Linked DNA regions of Caenorhabditis elegans. The protein of the gene in region 2 purifies or fractionates together with the protein of the main gene of each other region. This does not show direct contact. Each region holds a gene or a part of one and is shown on either strand. Other genes may lie near its edges.

The links.
Region 1: the proteins of usp-50 (region 2) and vps-4 fractionate together in Caenorhabditis elegans (co-fractionation; one large-scale study listed by BioGRID). This does not show direct contact.

Annotation. Positions count from the first base shown.
Region 1 is NC_003279.8:1,065,249-1,069,168, reverse strand, and holds the start of vps-4 (vesicle-fusing ATPase), read left to right. Parts: upstream 1-2,269; 5' UTR 2,270-2,299; coding exon 2,300-2,320; intron 2,321-2,400; coding exon 2,401-2,512; intron 2,513-2,607; coding exon 2,608-2,777; intron 2,778-2,843; coding exon 2,844-2,976; intron 2,977-3,871; exon of another isoform or gene 3,872-3,920. Other genes in the region: gsa-1 (Guanine nucleotide-binding protein G(s) subunit alpha), read right to left, coding at 81-182.
Region 2 is NC_003283.11:17,923,065-17,926,984, reverse strand, and holds the start of usp-50 (ubiquitinyl hydrolase 1), read right to left. Parts: upstream 2,001-3,920; 5' UTR 1,973-2,000; coding exon 1,869-1,972; intron 1,606-1,868; coding exon 1,461-1,605; intron 1,019-1,460; coding exon 938-1,018; intron 414-937; coding exon 223-413; intron 1-222. Other genes in the region: E01B7.2 (uncharacterized protein), read right to left, coding at 2,870-3,001, 3,768-3,920.

The DNA.
Region 1 (3,920 bases), on a different chromosome or scaffold from region 2:
GGAGGGAAATTATGGCGACGCGGGGGCGGGGGGAAGACGATGAACAAAAACCACAAAAACCCACCAATTCCTAAACATACCTGCTTATCCTTAGCCAACTGCTCCTCGATCTGCTTGTTGACCTTGCGTGCTTCTCGGCCTTCGGCATCAGCGCCAGCGCCGACGCACCCCATAAGGCGCATCTTGACGCGGTGGCGACGGCTCTTCTTCCGATCGGTGGTGGTTGCGCAGTGGTTTCAGCAAGTACAGTAGTAGTGAAACGTTTGAAAGGCGGTGGTGAACGGTAACGAATTAGCGGAATAGTCAACGGCGACGTGGTGAGCAGGGCAACTCACGGCGTGTGTAGGCAAAATGGAAAAGACAGAAAGAAGTGTGTGGGGGGAAGACGGAGAAGAAGAAGAAGAAGAAAAAAGAATAGAGAATTTGGAATTTGGAAGTTACTGGCCGATGTGATGGGAGAGGGTGGTTGGGGATCGAACGTTCGCAATCGGATCAGACGCACGTCGAATCGTGTTCGAGGCGCGTTGCCGTTGTCGTCGTCGCCGTCTTCGTCTTCTTCGTGTATCGGACAGCGGCCACAGACAAGTATGCAAACGACGAGAGAGAGGCGAAAGCAGCAGAGAGGGACAAACACACAAACACACTCACTCACTCACTCTCTCTCTCTCTCACAGTGTGTGTGTGTGTGTATTTTGTGAGTGCTAGTTGCCAGGCTCCTTTCCAACGGGCGGTCTCCTCAATCGAAATGCTCCCTCGCGTCGTGTCGTCTAAACTGCGTGTCGCACCAAACGCGACCGCCGGACCAACACACACGGCCGGCCGCCCCGTCGACAGCTCTTGTCCGGCACCGGCCTGCCGCCCTCCGGCTTCTTTGTGCTCTTTTCGTCGGCTTTATCGTCTGTTTCTCTTGTCGCGCCAGCGGGGCACACATACACACTTTTCGCCTCACTGGCATCCTCGATTTCTCAGGCTGTTGAGAGGGAAAGAGAGGGGGGGACTGCACACGCGTCGCGCTTCTCTCAACTCTCGTGCGTCGCGGCGGCGACGGCGGCGGCGGCGGCCCCACTGCACCCGCCAATTCAAACTCGGGTTTCAGTGCAGTGTTGGGGAGCTGCGAGCGGTAGCGACAGTGTGCGCCTTTAAAAAGTACTGTAGTTTTGAACTTTTCCATGCGCTTCTGGATTCCCTCGCATTTTTAAGTGGAAGAGTTTGCCAGACTAGGCCATTTTGTCTCGGCCACGGTTGGGGTAGATTTACGGCGCGTTGTGTGTCGCGTCGCGGCTCGGCTCGATTTTCATTGTGAAACAAAATTTATTTGTCCGTGTGGAGTACACAACTTTCCCACGCGTTGTCCGGCAGGTGATTGTCAATGGGGCGCAAAAAATTGCAATGACGAATACCAGAATCCCGTGTTTTTGCTCACGATTCATATTATTTTATTCTAGTTTTTTGAAAAATCTGAGAATTCTGGAAAAAAATTTGAAATGACAGTACTCTTTGAAGGCGCTAAATTTGATTTGTCGTGTCAAGACCAGGAAATTGCTGCCGTCAACTGAACGAATTGATTTTGTGAAAAATATTCCCATTTTGATAATAAATATATTTTTTTTTTGAAGAAAATCATATTTTGCAAACTACTGCTTATTGCGTAGAGCATGTTTTTAAAACGAAAAAAGATCAAATACCGTATCCCTCATTTAAAGGCGCATGGGCTATTCATTCTCCAGCTTTAGTTATTTCAGGTCTAGAAATAAATGCTGAAGCATCTCTTGCAACGAAATCTGAATTTTCACAGTCTTTACATATATATATATTTTTAAATAATAAATGAATATCGATATGATCACGGGTTTTCAGGTTTTTAATTGAATTTTAACTGAATTGTTGTAGATTTCTAATTATTTTGTTTTGTAAACTATGGAATCGTCTCTGAATTCGGTAAATTTGCAGGAAAAAAATCTAAATTCAAACTTCCCTCCAAAATTCGTCGCGAATCACGTCAGCGTCGGGAAACGCGTCAGCAACCACCAGCTGGCGCGCTTCTCGTTTTGCGCTTAAAAAGCGTGACTCAGTTTTCAATGATTTCACAATCATTAAAAGCGAGAAATATCGCGAAAACCTGCTTATAAACTTGATTTTTTGATGCTGATTAGCTAGAATTTTGTTAAAATATCGATTTTCTAAAGTTTAGGGCTGAAAAATTCACTTTTTGACTCCCATCTTGTTGCTCCATCGATTTTCGTAAAATTGCTGACTTTTCGTATTTCAGCGTCCACCGCTCACTTATCGCCAGGAAAAAATGTCGGTTCCGGCACTTCAGGTAGAGTTTTTAGAGTTTTTTGTTTAAAAAATTGAAAAATAAAACATTTTTTAATTTTTTAAAAATTTTTTTAATTCCAGAAGGCCATAGAATTGGTGACAAAAGCCACCGAGGAGGATACAGCCGGCAGATACGACCAAGCGCTGAGATTATACGATCAGGCCATTGAATACTTCCTTCATGCGATAAAATGTTGGTTTTTGAGCGGAATTTTCCGGGTTTTTTCCGTTTTTTCCGTTGAAAAAAATAAAAAATATGTTAATTTTCAATTATTTTTAAATTTTCAGACGAGTCACAAGGCGATAAACAGCGTAATGCGATTCGTGACAAAGTCGGGCAGTATTTGAATCGCGCCGAGCAGATCAAAACCCATCTGAAAGACGGAAAAACGCAGAAAAAGCCGGTGAAAGACGGGAAAGACGATTCCGACGAGGATGAGGACAAGAAAAAGTTTCAGGTAATCAAATTTTAATGGAAATTATCACCGAATTCAGCCCATCAGCCCAAAAATCGCAATTTTCAGGACAAACTGTCGGGCGCAATTGTGATGGAGAAGCCGAATGTCAAGTGGACCGATATTGCAGGACTTGAGGGAGCGAAAGAGGCGCTCAAGGAGGCCGTCATTCTTCCAATCAAATTTCCACAGCTTTTCACTGGTGAGAATCGTGGAATTTTGGCGAAAAATAATTTAAAAAATGCAGCTTTCCGCTGGAAAATCGATAAATTCAGTGATTTTTGCGGATTTTTGGTGAAAATTTGGGTTAATTTTCAATTTTCTCCCCAAAAAAAAAAAAACGATTTTTTAAATAAAATTCGGAAGAAATTGCAGTTTTTCAGGTTTTTGCCGATTTCCTTGCCTAAAAATCGATAAATTAGGCGGTTTTTCGGAGAAAATTCGGAAATTTCACTGGTTCCCGCAAAAAATCTCCAGTTTTAGTAAAATTTTGCAAAATTTCACCTGAAAATTTGCAAAAATCCCCCCCAGTTAACCGATTTTCCGCCAAAAAACTGCGAATTTTCCCCGGAAAATTAGCGAAAACCTCCGAAATGTCTATTTTTATAACAAAATTGAAGGAGAATGGATTTTTGAAAAAAAAACAATTATTACATATTCGGAAAAAAAACCTCCCGATGGGTCTCGCCAAGAAAAAAATGCATGCGTCTTTAATTTGGAGTTTCACGTGTCCCATTACGGTTTGATCTACAAAAAATGCGGGAATTTTTCGTCCTGAAAATGACGTGTCAGCAATATGCGAAATCAGTTGAGAACTCTGCGTCGCTTCTCTCCCGCATTTTTCGTAGATCGCCGTAGATCAAGCGGAAATGGATCTCTGGCTTCCCTCATAAACTGAAATGGAAGAGTTTTTGCCGAACTAGGCCATTTTGGCTCGGCCATATCTGGGGTAGATTTACGGCGCGTTGCGTGTCGCGTCGCGGCTCGATTTTAGCGCGAAAAATTCAACGAGGAAGGCCAGAACCCCGTGAGAAAAATTGAAAATTTTGACCTCAATTTCAGAAAAACGTACTTTTTTTTTGAAAAATCTGAAATATATATACGATTTATTTTGCAATACAACATTCGCGGAAATTTCAAAAATTG
Region 2 (3,920 bases):
GTGTATTTGTGCTGGGGCTCACCTACTTTAAAGGGACATGGGGGTAGATCATGTCCCTTTAAAGTCGATGGCTTTTTCAGAAACAATTACAAAGTGGGGGGAATACCGAAATTCGTACCTCCTATTAGCAATAGAGCGCATTTCCACTAAAATTTCGAATTTTTAAGGAAAAATGGGGGTTTTCACCGAAAAAAAAATGTTTAAAAAATTTAAAAATAGTACCGAATATCAAAAATCAGTGCGCTTTTCTTTGGCGTATCATTTTCCACTTTTCGTACAAGTTCCCGCGGTGTGATCTTTGCCCGAACCGCCCGCATCGTCGAATCTACAGTAATCGTCGCCGCACGTTTATCCGCAGCCTCTTGTTCGGCACGTTTTTGTGTGTCAGCACGTCGGACCAGATTTTCGTATTTCTGAAAAAGAAATTATTGATTTTTCTGGGGGTTTAGGATGAAAATCGATGAAAAATCGATAATCATCAATTTTTAACGATTTTTCGAAAAAAAAATTTAATTTTTAAAGAAATGAGGAGAAAATCGTTTTTTGTCGATTTTTTGCGTTTTTTTCTTTAAAAAATTTATTTTTATTGGTTTTTTCGGGATTTTTGGGGTAAAAATCGATTTTTTTAAAAAATTTTTTGAAATTTTCAAGGGGAAATCGATTTTTTGAATATTTCCTGAAAAAGAAATCGATTTTATTGATTTTTTCGGAATTTTTACGGTAAAACCGATTTTTCTTTTGCTTTTTCTGAAAAAAAAAGGATTTTTTTGATTTTTTGGATTTTCAGAGTGAAAATAGATTTTTATTGAATTTTTATTTTGGAAAAAACAGTTTTTTTTTGAATTTTCAGGAGAAAATCGATTTTTTTTTTGCGTTTTTTCCTGAAAAAATCGAGTTTTATTAATTTTTTTTTTCCATTTTTTATGAAAAAACGTACAATATTCAGCACAGATTGCAAATTTGAAGCTTCTCGAACGACTTTCTCGAAATCCGCATAGAAAAGTGCCGCATTTGCTGTCTGAAAATAGGATTTTTATAGATTTTTGAGATTTTTCGGTAAAATTCTTTAAAATTTCGATTTTTAATGGAGTTTTTTTTGGAAATTTTGGGCTAAAAGCTTCAAAATCTTGAAATTTCTGGGTTTTCGCTGATATTTCGGCTAAAAAATTGAATTTTTAACGAAATTTTCACATTTTCATGGGTTTTTTGGTTTTGGTCGATTTTTTTCCGCAAAATTCTCGTTTTTTCAGCCATTTTTCAACTTTTCAGCTTTAAAAACTGATTTTCAGCCATTTTTCATATATTTTTCATGTTTTTCATCGAAAAAATGCAATTAATCTGATTTTTTGACTGTTTTTAGTGGAAAAAAAATTGAATTTTGGATGAAATTTTGCGTTTTTTTTTCGATTTTCCAGCCGAAATACACGTTTTTTTCGCCATTTTTCCATTTTCACACGAACATTTTGCTTCCATCTCGCAAATTTCGAGCTTTTCGTGATAATATTTCCGAGTTCACCGGCTTTCATCAATAATCGGTATTGTTGCTCCAAATCTCCACGGGCTTTTTCAGCAGATCCTTGCAAATTTTTCAAAGATTGATATACTCTGAAAATTTGGAAATTTGGGGTTTTTTCGATTTTTTTCTGTTAAAACTGGGATTTTCTCAATTTTTCGAGTTTTTTACTGAATTTATCATAAAATTCGGAATTTTTTCGAGTTTTCTACGTAAAATTTCGAGTTTTGCACTATATTTTAAGATTTTAAAGTGAAAAACCTAAAGATTTTCAATTTTTCCACTGGAAAATCGATTTTTCCCAGTTTTCGATGATTTTAATCGATTTTTCCGAATTTCCACGCTAAAAACATACACATCAAGCGATTTTTGCTCAAATTGTCGTGTTTGCTGCTCTGTAAGTGAGCATGTGGCAAGAAGCTCCGTCATACTTGTGAATTGAAGTCCGGATGAGTTCATTTTTCATTTGAAATTGACAGAAAACCCGCTGAAAATCGATTTTTCGTGTGAAATTGGAAGAAAATGACTGAAAAATTGCGAAATTTCGGCGAAAAAACCGGTAAAAAAGCGGCGATAAATGTCGCAAAGTTTGCGCGTCAAATATGGTGTTTTCACGGAATTCGGCGAAATTTAAGCCGAAAAACGAGTTTTTATACTTTTCAGAAGCCGTATGAGAAGCCAAATGGTAAAAAGTGTAATCTTTATTGACTTTTTCGCGGGGGAAATTCAGTTTTTTGCAATGAAAATATCGATTTTTCCGGTGAAAAATATTAATTCCGGTACAGTAGCCATTTAAAGGCGCATACAGCAAAGTTGTGCCATGTGTCTCACCACGAAACTTGTTTAACACGAAAATCTTCATTTAATTTGTATGAGAATTAGGTTTTCAAAAAATTTAAATAAGTTTTAGCAACACTAAATGCTAAAAACATGTTAGAATTGGAAAAAACGTAATATTTATGAAGATTTAACTGAAAATCAAGAGAAAAAGCTAAAATCTCTGAAACTTAAGCAAATCTAGGGAAAATCACGTTAAATCTTTGTTGAAAAACTTGAAATTAATTGGAAAATCCTTGAAACGGCAAAAAAATAGCCGAGAAATGTATAAAATCTGAGAAAAATCAGCAAAATTCGAAAGAAAAAAACTACAGTGCTCTTTAAAGGCGCAGCACTCGAATCTCAACACTGGTCTCGACGCGAATTACGATTTTTTGAATTTTTATGAAAATTAAATTAAATTTCCAATTTTTCAGAGAAAAATGCACATTTTCGATGAAAAAATTAAAAAAAAAAAACAAAATTTATTAATTCTTCAAAAAATTCCATAAAAATTTAACAAAAAAACCCAAAAAATTGTCATTTTTCTTGAAAATTTGGCATTTCAATGATCATTGTTCGTTCCTCGGTTTCCGGTCGTTTCGAATATCGAGCCATCACGATTTTCCGATTATTTGGACCATTTCGAAGCTGTTTTCGCTTTTTTTCCGCCTGAAAATCGATATTTTAGGCCAAAATTTGAGACTTTTAAGCCAAAAATGGCCTTTTTTGGCCTAAATTTTACAATTTCAACGGGGAAAAAAGTTCGAAAAAAAAATCATTTTTTTAAATTAAAAATTGAGATTTTTTCCACGATTTTTAGCTAAAAACTATAATTTTTCCGGAAAAATCTCAAAAATTCGCGAGTTTTCTCCTTTTTTCCTGAAATTTTTCAAAATGTTGCCGTAAACTGCCGGTTTTGAGCAATTTTTACGCTTTTTTTCACTAAAAATTCGAAAAACTCGGAATTTTCGACGATTTTAAGAGAAATCGTGAATTTTTTAGGTTAAAAATTGCTTTTTTATACGAAATTTTCACCAAAAAACTTAAAATTGGACCATTTTAGGCCAAAAAATAACGTAAAATCTCAATTTTGGGCTAAAAATCGCAAATTTTCATGGTTTTCATGTTAAAAATTGGATTTTTCATTGAAAAATTCAAAAAATCTTGGTATTTTTCGACGACGATTTTAGGCTAAAAATGTGATTTTTTACGAAAATTTTTTTTCGACGATTCGGTTTTTTTTCACTAAAAATTCAAAAATCTTCGGAAAATCTCAATTTTAGAGTTAAAAATGCAATTTTTCTGTAAAATCACGAATTTTCTAATGAAATTATGCAATTTTTTCATTAAAAATTAGAAAATCTTTGTATTTTCGCCAATTTTAAGCTAAAAACTCGGCTTTCTCAGCTATTTTCTCGCCTGAAAACCGCCGTACCAAAATCGGTTGAATCGGTTGTGGTTCAATATTTAAATCGTGAATTTCAAAACGATCATTTGTAATTAATTTGATAATTTCTGCTCCTTTTGCCAGTAATTCATCGTCTTCAAGCTTCTCACGTGGTGCTGAAAATGTGAAAAGCTTCTCGAG